3 linked regions of the Ovis aries genome follow. The protein of the gene in region 1 purifies or fractionates together with the protein of each later gene. This does not show direct contact. Links are inferred from orthologs where the notes say so. Each region holds a gene or a part of one and is shown on either strand. Other genes may lie near its edges.

Evidence for each region.
Region 2: the proteins of NEPRO (region 1) and RPP25L purify together in Homo sapiens (affinity purification with mass spectrometry; 3 studies listed by BioGRID and IntAct, with this or other methods). This does not show direct contact. The link is inferred for Ovis aries from reciprocal best matches to the Homo sapiens genes RMP64 and RPP25L.
Region 3: the proteins of NEPRO (region 1) and RPP30 purify together in Homo sapiens (affinity purification with mass spectrometry; 3 studies listed by BioGRID and IntAct, counting the BioPlex papers as one, with this or other methods). This does not show direct contact. The link is inferred for Ovis aries from reciprocal best matches to the Homo sapiens genes RMP64 and RPP30.

The regions. Positions count from the first base shown.
Region 1 is NC_056054.1:178,668,401-178,672,022, reverse strand, and holds part of NEPRO (nucleolus and neural progenitor protein), read left to right. Parts: intron 1-217; coding exon 218-579; intron 580-813; coding exon 814-875; intron 876-3,271; coding exon 3,272-3,531; intron 3,532-3,622. UniProt on the Homo sapiens protein: May play a role in cortex development as part of the Notch signaling pathway. Downstream of Notch may repress the expression of proneural genes and inhibit neuronal differentiation thereby maintaining neural progenitors.
Region 2 is NC_056055.1:36,953,830-36,958,080, forward strand, and holds RPP25L (ribonuclease P protein subunit p25-like protein), read left to right. Parts: upstream 1-1,488; 5' UTR 1,489-1,531; exon of another isoform or gene 1,532-1,569; intron 1,570-2,282; exon of another isoform or gene 2,283-2,285; 5' UTR 2,286-2,315; coding exon 2,316-2,807; 3' UTR 2,808-3,687; downstream 3,688-4,251. UniProt on the Homo sapiens protein: May be a component of ribonuclease P or MRP.
Region 3 is NC_056075.1:12,318,636-12,322,847, forward strand, and holds the start of RPP30 (ribonuclease P protein subunit p30), read left to right. Parts: upstream 1-1,381; 5' UTR 1,382-1,394; coding exon 1,395-1,476; intron 1,477-2,969; coding exon 2,970-3,025; intron 3,026-3,543; coding exon 3,544-3,600; intron 3,601-4,212. UniProt on the Homo sapiens protein: Component of ribonuclease P, a ribonucleoprotein complex that generates mature tRNA molecules by cleaving their 5'-ends. Also a component of the MRP ribonuclease complex, which cleaves pre-rRNA sequences.

The sequences.
Region 1 (3,622 bases):
ACTGTATTTGGTTTTATATAACATTTTGTACTTGGATTTTTCTGTATAAGCTGGACTAAATCTAGCTCTTTGCAAGTATCCACTGTAGCATTTTTTTGTTTTAAATCTATAGCGGCAGACTGATAGGTGTTATTTTCAGCTTTGAATCTGTTAGTTATTATGTAATCTGCAAATTACAATTACTGGCTAATTCATGAGCTCTTACTTCTTTCCCTAGGGTTCTGTATAAAGATGTTTTAAAAAAGCTGGTTTCTTTATATGAACCATTGTTTGGATTACTTCAAGAGGTCTCCAGGATTCAACCATTGCCTTACTTCAAAGGTTTTACCTTTCCTTCTGATATTGTTGAATTTTTAGGAGAGCCCTATTTTGAAGTCTTTAAGAAAAAAATGCCTACAGCTTTTGTAGCTAAAGGAGTAACCAAACTGCTAAATAAACTATTTTTAACAAAAGAGCAATCACAGAGGTCGGGTGAAGAAACTTTACTTAGAATTTCTGAAAAAGCTAAACAAATGAAGATCAATATACCGAATAACATGGATCTTGGACAACCAGTAAAGAGTAAGAAAATCTTAAAAGGTAATTTGCTTTGATATGGCTCATTTTCTTAAACTCTCTTAATTTTAACTCACATTATCTTTAGAGACGTGTGGTATTAATAATGTGTGTTTTCTAAGCTTGAGCATGTTATTTCTTTCTATTGTATCTTCATAGTTCTTTGCTTGCTTAACTCCCTTTGTTGTCATGTACTTAAGAATTTATTGTTTTGAAAACAGTATGCCTAATTGTTTTATCTGTACTCTATCTCCACAGAAAAGTCATCAGAATTTGATGTGAGAGCTTTCTGCAAACAGCTGAAACAAAAAGCTATTCAGGTTTGTCTGGCTTATTTTAATAATAGCTTATGATTTCTGCTAAGTGTAGATGCCACTTACCAAGGCCAGAGGCTGAATCTCACTTCTGGTTTTATCCTCGGCTCTAGGCATAGTGCCATCTTAGTCTCAGTCTGCTTCTGAATGAGTGGAGGCATTTCCAAGGGATCTGAGTGCATCTAGTTAATTCGGTTAATAGAATGCCTTCAGAAACATTTTACTAAGGGTTTTGCTAGGATTTTAAAATGATCCTAGGATCCACCATAGGAGTGGATTACACTGCAGCTTAAGAACATGGGCTTCGAAGTCAGATGGTTTGTGTCCTGGCTTTGGTGTGTAGTAGTTTGTGACCTTACGTAAGTTTCTTGACCTGTCCATGCCTCCATTTTCTAGAAACAGTATACACTTCATAGGGCTCTGCCAGTTTTAGTACATGTAAAGTATTCAGCACAGAGTCTCAAGTGTGGTAAGCCCTTACTTGATGTTAGATGTTGTCAGGTACTTCCATCGTCACTATCATCATCATCATCTTTTATCATGAGGCTTCTATTTCTGTCTTTCTGTCAGTGTTAGAGCTGCTGTCAGCATTTGACCTCTCCTCAGCCAGTGTCTGTAAACTTGGTTTGTTCTGGATCTGACACGGATAAGAAGTTCTTTTACTCTCTTTTCAAAGTTGTTTTCTTCATGGGCTATTTCTTCCATTCTATTCAAGAATTCTTTTCTAACAAGTCAGTACTTTCTTGAAGGTTTACAAGGATTCCAGCTTGCATTTATATTTTGTCCAGTTTACAAGTTCTGGAGGAAGATGTCATCATCACCATAATACTTATACTGCATTTACTCTTTGCTGGGCATTGTTCAGAACTCTTTATATGTGTAAACTCATATAATCCTTGCAAAAGTCCTGTGAGGTAGGTGCTGTTCTTTCCATGTTTCAGATGAGAAAATTAAGGCAAAGAAAGGACAAGAAATTTGTCTAGGCCAGATAGCAAATATGGGGCAGAACTGGGATTTGAACCAGGCAGTTTGGTTTTAGTCTTTGTCATTTAATATTATTTGTTGTTCAGTCACTAAGTTGTGTCTGACTTTCTGCAACTCCATGCCTGCAGCACACCAGGCTTCCCTGTCCTTAACTGTCTCCTGCAGTTTATCATTACACCAGTCTCCAAATAGTTTTATCAGCTCTCTCTTAATAACTACAGCTCTCTGTGACTCCTGAAACTTTCTGCAGTCCATCACTTGTTCCTATGTGAGCTGGTTCCAGCATCCCTCTTATTTATGACCAATCACTATTTTATTTTTAGCATTTAGCACCAACATGCTTAGGGTGTTTTTAGGCCAAACCTTTATGGATCACCAACACAAAGATCGATGGGTCTCTGCCTTCTACTACTATTACTTGTTCTTCTTGAGAATGAGAAATTTGCAAGAAACGAAGTTTTGAACACAAGATGGAAGCAGACCTTGTAGGTGGCATATTTCAATAAACAGTAGTAGTTGATAAAATTCACTTGACTTCATGCAGAAAAGTGACGTTGAAGAGACAGAGGTGCCACGTCAAAAGATGGTTGAATTGGAATTGGAAATATTGCTCAGTTAAGCATTTTTAGCATACATTCAGCAGTCATCTGCATTTCCACATTTATCAACAACATTTATGACCCTTCATTGAGGAGGTGATGAAAAACAAGCTGTGGTAGTCCAGTATTAGAGGAAAAGAGCCTTTCAGCGATTTTGTCTCCCGCCAGATAGACTTTGACCAATACTTAATTATGCGGAGTTTTATTCTTATGTGTAGGTTAAATGGGCTTCCTGGTGGCTCAGTGGTTGAGAATCCACCTGCCAGTGCAGGAGAGGCAGGATGGATCTGTGGGTGGGGAAGATCCCGGAGAAGGAAATGGCCACTTCGGTATTCTTGCCTGGGAAATCCCATGGACAGAGGAGCCCGGCGGGCTGTAGTCCATGGGGTCACAAACACAACAGCAACACAGGTTAAATAAATATGTCTGTAAATGTTTATACTGTTACTTGTGTACAACTGAATTTAGCTATAGATGGGATCTGTTGTAGCACAGAAGGGAAAAAATCGTATTAGGAACAGTGAATAAAAATTTTTTTAAGGAAAGGAATTCCCTGGCAGTCTAGTTATTAGGACTGTATTTCCACTGCAAGGGGGGTACCAGTCTGTTCCCAGGGTTGAGGAACTAAGATCCCCAAAGCCAGGTGGCACAGTCAAAAGAATTTAAAAAGACAAACAGAAAGCATGGGGAACTGGAAAAAACTTTTCTCCTTCTTTTAAAAAGATGCATTTTCAAATGTTGATAGTGTGTGAGTCAACTTCTCTCTCTTGTTATATGTCAGTAACAGATCCAATATATTTTTCTCATTCCATATTTCAGGAGAAGAACTTTGAGTTTAAATGTTCTCCATCCAAACTAAAGGCAACCAAACATTCTTCTCAGAAAGCAATAGGAACTCCCTGTGTAAAAAGTCTTGTGCAAAGATTCCGAGAGGCTGAGACTTTCACACAACTTTCTGAAGAAATCCAAATGGCAATTCTGTGGTGTAGAAGCAAAAAACTGAAGGTTCAGACCACCTTTCTGGGTAACAAACTTCTTAAAAGTAATCGGCTTAAACATGTGGAAGCTCAAGGCTCTAGGTAGGTATATTATAAAAATTACATTCCTTTACTTCTTCTGTTATCTTTTAAGGCGAAAGTATATAGTCAGCCTTTTTAATGTCCAGTACCC
Region 2 (4,251 bases), on another chromosome or scaffold:
GTATCCTGTTCCAGTGACAATAAAACTGTAGAGGTCACTGCAGGAGTGTGTTGGCTTCCTGGTCTTGGATGGGTATGGTGGTGGGGATGAGGGTGGTGGAGGCCAGAGTTGTCCATCTTCCTAGGAGTTGGACCACCAGCTATACTTATCCTAGTCTAGCTTTCTGGGAGATATAGAGCTCTCAGGATGAATGCTCTCATTTGCTTGATGTGAGTGGAACATTTGGTTTTATATCTATTTATCCCACATTTACCAAGTACACTCTAAATGTCAGATGCCATACCAGGTGGGGAGGTCACAGGTAGGGTCCACCTGATCCCTGCCCTGAACAGGATAGCAGGGGAAACAGTCATGGAAAAGGGGAGGGAACCATGTGGCACAAGGGTTCTTTGGGGGCACAGAAGAAAAGGATGTGGCAGGTAGCTCTGGAGAGTGATATGCAGGGTCTTTGAGAACCAAGGGAGCAGCATGTGCAAAGGAGAGGGGAGCCTCTATGTTGCTCTCCTGATGCTATAAGAGAAGGGGAGCCTAAAAGAGGATGCAGAGGGCTTTTGGGCTGGGGCGGGGCGGGGCGGTGCTGTGGCTGGAAAGGAGGGAGAGTTGGCATATTAGCAAAGAAACCGATGGCACCTCACTCCACCAAGTGTTTGCTGTCCCCTTGTGGTCTCCGGGACTGCTGCGGCTCCAGGCCCCTTTACGTCGACCTGCCCGCCACCGTACCGGCGCGGTCTCATTGGCATCTCAAATCCAACAAGTCTGAAACTGAGCCATCCTAGGCTCTTCCCTCCATCCGAAGAGTCGCCAAACCCACCTCGTAGTATCTTCCAACTTAATTTCCTTTTCCCCATTCCCAGTGTTGTTTCTCTGGCTCATTCTTTCAACAAATGCTTTATCAAATATTCGAGCACGTATAGGCAGGGCAACTTACGAAGCACCGCGGACATGCCCCTGGGACGTGCGGCCAGGAGTCACCAGAGGGAGGCCCGAGAGCTGCCCACACGAACAAGTCTGACTTGCGCCTTGATGAAAGCCCCCTGTGGGTCGCCAGTGCCCACAGGGTGAGGCTGAAGTTCAGAACTCGGTGATCTAGGCTCTCGCCCCCGCAGCGGCCACATCACCCGGCACCTCTAGCTCCGGTCCAAAGAGAAACCCGCCACTCTGCCTCTGCTACTGCGGTGTGCTCAGCGGGTAACGCCTGCCCTGAATCTTCTAAGGGCCAAATCCTCCGCATCCTTCCGACGCGGACTTCGGACGCGGGACTCCTCTGCTGGCCGCTCCTCTCCCCCGCAGCGCTCTCTCCGCTCGCAAAGGAATGCTCCTTGCCTGGGGCAGAACAGCAAAGACACCCTGCGTGCAGCGAATCCTCGCGTCCGGGGCCAGCTCACTCCCTGGCGTCCGGAACCTCTCGGTTTGCGAACCCGGCCCCTCAGGCCCCGCCCCGTCCGGCGTGCGCGGCCCCGCGACCTCGGCGCGCTTTCGGCCCGCGCCATCTTGGCTTCAGATCGAGCGTAGGGAGTGCGCGGCCGCGGCGGTGAGAGCCGGAGCCCTGCGGGGCAGGGGCGCCTAGAGGTGCGAGGAGGAGAGGGAAGGCCGGGTGCTGGGCCTCTGCGGTGGCCCGTGGCGGTGGGCACCACGGAGCCCGGCCTCTCGTGGCCCCGACGCCAGGGGTGGCCCGAGCAGTCGTTGGCGTCAAGCCTCTGCTTCCCAGTGTCTGAGGGACCCTCGGTTGAGGGGATCGACCCTGGAATCTCTGGATGAGAGAGGGGTGCCCGACCCTGTCCTCGGGGTCCAGGAGTTGGGGAGAGGATCGTTTCTGTCTTTGAGGAGCTTTTGGATGAAGGCTCATGGCTCCGTTTGGTGGAGCATGGGGTGTGGGGGGCGGGGAGGGGGGAGCTTGGCCCTGACCTCTGGGAGCACGAAGTGAGGCGCCTTTGCCCTGGCGCCCCGTGGAGAGCCCAGGGTGAGGAGCACTCAGCCTTGTGCTTAGGGAGTCTCGGGTGAGGGCCTGGATCCAGTCCCCAGGAGCCCCAGATGAGAAAGGTTCATTCCCAGTGCCAGGGAGCTAGAGATGGAGAGGCTTGGCCGGTGTTCAGGGTCGGTGGAGGGTTATGGCCCTGTCCAGAGGACTGGGGTACATGCCCCCCTAGGGGGAGGCAGGCATGACTCCTTGTCCTGGGGATGAGGGGTTTAAAGTCCCATTTCTGGGAAATCTGGGCGGAGCAGCACCCTCGGGTGGGGGTCGCCTGGGACACAGTGCCCACCATCCTTTGACTTCCCTGCAGCAGGGCAGCAAGGCGGACACGACAGCAGGCTGGATGGAGCACTACCGGAAAGCTGGCTCTGTGGAACTCCCCGCACCTTCCCCGATGCCCCAGCTGCCTCCTGATACCCTGGAGATGCGGGTCCGAGCTGGCAGCAAGATCCGCAACCTCTTGGGCTTGGCGCTGGAGCGGCTGGAGGGCGGCAGCGCTCGCCACGTGGTATTCTCAGGCTCTGGCCGCGCTGCAGGCAAGGCTGTCAGCTGTGCTGAGATTGTCAAACGGCGGGTACCAGGCTTGTACCAGCTTACCAAGCTGCGCTTCCTGCAGACCGAGGACAGCTGGGTGCCTACCTCACCTGACACGGGCCTGGATCCCCTCACGGTCCGCAGCCATGTGCCTGCAGTGTGGGTGCTGCTGAGTCGAGACCCCCTGGACCCCAATGAGTATGGCTACCAGCCCCCTGGGGCACCCCCTGACCTCGGGCCCACACCTGCCTCCAGCTGTGGCCCTCAGCCTAGAAGAAGGGCTCGAGATACCCGGTTCTGAGGACCTGTGGGCAAGCTGTTGTCTAGACTGTCTAGGATGGCTGTACCTTTGAGAAGCCTCTAACTGCTCAAGGTCTCCAACAAAACTTGAGTTTAGGAAAGTGGGCCTCCCTGTCCTGCTTCCCCTTCCCTCTGGCTCCTGGAAAGGGACTCTCGTGAAGAGTGACAGGTGTGGAGTCTCTGCCGGGTTCTAGATTGCTTAAGAAGCAACATCCTAAGTCAATGTGTAGGTCAACTTGCCACAGCATAAATAAAATAAAATATTATGTAGAGAAAGAAGAAGGGTTACTCTGCCTTTTACATACAGTGCCTCTCATCTGTCTTCTGACAGAGATCCAAGGAGTGAGTTAGGAAATAAAGGCTCTGTCTGTCTGATGAACCTCTGCTTGGCCTGCTGTGTGGAAGTAGGGTTAAGGGAGTGGGAGTCCCTGCCCTTGACCGCCAGGAGCTCCCAGTCTGGAGACAGGAAAAGTAGGTTCAGATGGGTGCTGGGAGGATCTGGACTGAAGATGCAGCCTCAAGCAGTAACCTGACTGTCTAGATCCCTGGGTAGCTATCTGCTTCCTGTTTGGGGCTGGTTGAAGGACTCTGCATTTTTCTCCACCTGCAGCATAGAGACATACCTCATTTTGTTGCACGCAGATACTACATTTCTTACAGAAGAAGTGAAGTTCTGTGGCAGACCTGCACTGAACAAGTCTGGCAACACCATTTTTCCAACAGTGTTCATTTCGTGTCTCTGTCACATTTTGGTAATTCTCAAAATATCTCAAACTTTAATTATTATATTTGTTATAGTGATCTATGATGTTACTACTGTAACTTAGTGAAAACTCAAATGATGGTTAGCATTTTTTAGCAATAAAATATTTTAAAATTAAGGTATATATGTAGATTGTTTTTTAGCTATAATTCTGTCACATTCATAATAGACTACAATATAGGGCTTCCCTGGTGGCTAGAGGTTGAAACCTCTGCCTCCAATGTGGGAAACCCGCGTTCAATCCCTGGGTCGGGAAGATCCCCTAGAGAAGGAAATGGTAACCCACTCCAGTATTCTTGCCTGGAGAATCCCATGGACAGAGAAGCCTGGTAGGCTACAGTCCACGGGGTCGCAAAGAGTCAGACACGACTGAGCGACTTCACTTCACTTCTTAGAGTAAACATAACTTTTTTAAGCACTGGGGAACCAATAAACTTCTGTGACTTGCACTATAGAGATCTTCCTTTTATTGAGGTGGTCTGGGACTGCACCCAAATGTCTCTGTGAAGTATGCCTATATTACAATATAGTGGTTGAGATCATGGCCTTGGTCACCAAGCTGTCTGGATTTGAATCCTGGGTCTGCCACTTATTAGGTAGTTACTGCTCTGCGCTTTAGTGTTCTCATCATCCATAGAACAAGATGTAGTGCTTGCCTTGAAGGATTGTTATGAGGATTAAA
Region 3 (4,212 bases), on another chromosome or scaffold:
AGAGATAGTGAAGGACAGGGGATCCTGGTGTGCTGCAGTCCATGGTGTGGCAAAGAATCGGACATGACTTAGCGACTGAACAACGATAACATGGGGCAGATCCCTCTTAAAATTCCCTTCTGAGACCAAGGGGAAAAGTCATGAGACGAATACAAGTCAAGATGTGGCCTCAGGCTAGAGATTGTCTGTGTACTATCTGTGATAAGTTAGCACAGAAATTAGAACTGTTTAGAAACTTTCACACCCATTAGGCCTTATCTGTATACCCAAGTCCCTAGCTATTGGACTCTTCTTATTCAGTCGAGTACAGAGCAATTCAGATGTTAGACCAAACTTTTGAGGCCAGATTTGTCTATTGGTCATGCAGGAGGAAACAGGAATGGGTCCTAGAACAACTGGGTGGGTGGGTGGGGAGGGCAGTAACCAGGCCCTTCATCACAGATCGTTTGAAAAAGCACTGATGTTAACTATTATTGTTGTTGTTGAGTTGTTAAGCCATGTCCAACTCTTTGTGACCCCATGGACTACAGCACGCCAGGCTTCTCTGTCCTCCAGTGTCTTGCAGCGTTTGCTCAAATTCATGCCCATTGAGTCGGTGATGCCATCCAACCACATGATGTCATCTGATGTCAACTACAGTTTCACAGTTTTATGTTCTCGGATCATTGATCAATATTTAAGAAGAGTTCACTTACACGAGTTCAAAAATGTGGAAATATCAATTGTGTGGAATTTGATTGTACATTTCTTCTTATTTTAATTACGCCCCTCTCTTGTCTAACCAGCTTTTGGCTGAACCAGTGATGGAGCTAACCTCTCATCCTAGAAAGAACCCTGCCATCTGGTGGCTGACGATATTGAGTGTAAGGAAGTAGCGCGCTGTGAACTCCCAGTTCAGACAGAGGAAAAAGACCTTTCCCCCTGGCAATCCGCTTTTAGGTCAGTTTCCCCATTTTCCGTTAAGTCCATTTTAAACAACGGAATGGCCTTTAACGGGGGAAAAAAGAACAAGTTCCCTACTACTTTTAAAGCATTTCCAGCCCTTAGCAAAAGGATTTGGTTCAAGTAGGCGCTCAATTAATGGTGTATATGTCCATTTTAAAAGAATCATTTTCTACATTATTTCCAAGGATGAAGGGTGGGAGGTGTGAACCCCCACGGCCCAACCCCAGGAGAAACCAGACATTCTCATTTGGAAGAAGACGAAGGGCTGAAGCGAGGCTGCTAATCTCCACGTGCTAACTTCTGCTGGTACTTGAAGGCAAGAAAGGAGGCGGAGACCCGCAGACTGCGGGAGGGCGGGGCTGGCCGAGCCGCTGAACTGCAGTTCCCGGCATGCCCGGGGAGGCGGGGCCCAGAGGCCGCGCCGGCGCCGGGGCTCACGTGGCTTCAGCATGGCGGCGTTTGCCGACTTGGACCTGCGGGCGGGTTCCGACCTGAAGGCGCTGCGCGGGCTCGTGGAGAACGCTGCTCACCGTGAGTCTCCCGGGCTGCGCGGGCCGCCGTGCCTGCGCTGTCTCGCTGTCCCTAGGCTGTCGAGCCATGCTCTGGAGGGACCCGGCGGGCCTAGTTCTGGTGTCCTGGGGCCTCCGGCGTGTCCTTAGAAACTGATGCCCCTGCGGTGTTACTCTGACCCGAGGCGCGGGAAACTCGAAAGCCCTGGGGAGATGTTACCCAGTCCAGCTCCTTCTGTCTTGCGAATTGAGGAAACTGAGGCCCTGACATGGCGGGGGATCTGCATGGGCCCCACAGCTGATGGATGGAAGAAGACGGGGCTCCCAAGTATACGCCTACACCAGTGCCTTTCATATCGCCCCTTCCTAAGTCTCTTGACATTGTCCTGATGCTGTCAAATGCGGGAAACTGATGCAGAGAGGGGGAGTCCTGTGGGGGCCCTGAGAATGGGGACATGTGGTTCCGAGTGTCGGAATGTTATTTACACGGAGAGTAAGTGGGGGCGGAGGACTTACTAGGAGGGTGGGAGGAGAGCAGAATGGCTAAAATGTAACTCCTGTTTGAATCCAGGGGAAACAAAAGCCGAGAGAGGTTAAGACCTTACCTTAATTATTGAAGTGAATCACAACTGCTGTCTAAGTGGGCGTAGAAGGGTTTCAAAATAGAAGAGGTTTCTTCAGGGTCTGTTAAGTAATGGACGCTCAGTAAATATTTGAGAGAGGAAGAAAAGGACCTTGGACAAACTCATGAGGGGGGAGACCACTATTTTGACCGTAATATGCGTTATCTTTTAATATTAATATCCTGTCGTCACCGTTGCTGTTTAAATAGCTTAAAGATTGGAGTCATGATTTAAACATATTTTTGAAGTCCACATGTCCAGAGCAGTGCTGTGTTGAGGCTGATAAAGCCAGGCCTTGGCTTCAGAGAGTTCTCAGTCTCTTGGTGGGTAGCTCAAAGGAGAACGTGGACATTGGTGTGAATTAGTGGTCATCCTGTTTCACCTTAGCAAAAGGGTCTCTGAAGAAGTAGAAAGGGTAAAAAGCAAAAGAAAAAACGGAAAAGTAAGAATGAAGTTGATAGTGAAAAAAGTATAAATTTGATGAGATGAAAATGAACATAGGGACACGAAAAAGAATAATGGTTGAAAGAAGATAGGCAAAGATAAAGGTCTTTGTTATCATGCTGATAATACATCACCAAAGTCAAACAAAGCCCTGTGTCTATGCTAGGCACTGTTCTAAAACATCCAGCATGTGTTATCTCATTTAATTCCCATGACAGTTGTATGAGATGAATCCTGATATCATCACCATTTGGCAGATGAACAACCTGAAACTTAAGGTTAAGTAACTTTTAAGTAGTAATGTTTAGGTTTGAGAACAGGCAAATCTGACTCCAGAATCCATACTCATAACCATTCTTCTGCCTTGTAGTCTTGACATGAATTGGTATGAGCTTATGTGTAAAAGAGGTTGTTGTATTTGACAAGAATGTTCAATTTTTCTTTTCAGTGGGCTATTCAGTTGTTGCCATCAATCATGTTGTTGAATTTAAGGAAAAGAAACAGGTAAAATAGGATTTCTGACAATAATAACCAGCATTTATAATTATTTTGTGTGTATCGGTAATGTGGAAGCTACAGATGAGCACTCTGTGCATTGTTTTATGTGTTAATAGTTGAGCTGATACATATCTGTACAAATGATAACTTTTTTGTGAAGTGCTGGGGTATGGTGTAAAGATTCTTAAAGTCGATCTGATGTTAAGTAACTTTTTAAAAAGTGCATTGTTGTTGTTTAAACTTTAATCACAATAGTTCATCTTTTTTATTTTACCGTCATGGACTCATTACTGATTGATTTCCCTTCCGAACATACTAGTAAATATGTGTATCTCTCCTTAGGCCAACAATTGTTCCTTACAGATTGTTTCATTCTAAAAAATTGTTGTTCATCCTTCCTTTCCATTGATGTTCTCAGCTCCTACTTGGCTTCAACTGTCTTTACATGGACATACACACAGCTTATCTAGTGTTTCTGCATGCTAGAAATAAGCTTTCTAAAAATTATTCTTTATTTGTTGTAGGAAATTGACAAACCAGTAGCTGTTTCTGAACTCTTTACAACTTTGCCAATTGTACAGGTAAGTGCTTTGTTTAAGAAACATAATACGTACTCAGACAGTTCAGGCGTTCCCAGTCATATGTATGGTTCTCTAACCTGCACTGCCCGTTCCTTTGTCTACCAGTCCTACCTTTCCATGAAGACTTAGTTTTTCCATGAAACATTATGTACGTCTCTTTTTCTCTAGCTATTCAGGTATACCTCAGAGATACTGTGGGTCTGGTTCCAAACTACCATGTTAAAGCAAGTCACGAATGTTTTGGTTTCCTGATTCATGTTAAGTTTATGCTTACCTTGTCGATTAAGTGTGCAGCAACCTGGAGAATCCCAGGGATGGGGGAGCCTGGTGGGCTGCCGTCTGTGGGATCGCACAGAGTCAGACACGACTGAAGCGACTTAGTAGCAGCAGCAGCAGCATTGTATCTAAAAAAACACAATGTTTATCTGAATTTTTAAATATTTTACTGCTTAAAAATGCTCACCATTATCTAAGTCTTCAGTAAGTTATGATCTTTTTGCCAGTGGAGGGTCTTACATTGATGCTGAAGGCTGGTGACTGATCAGGGTGGTGGTTGCTAAAGGCTGGGGTGGCTGTGGCAATTTCTTGAAATAAGACGATGAATTTGCTGCA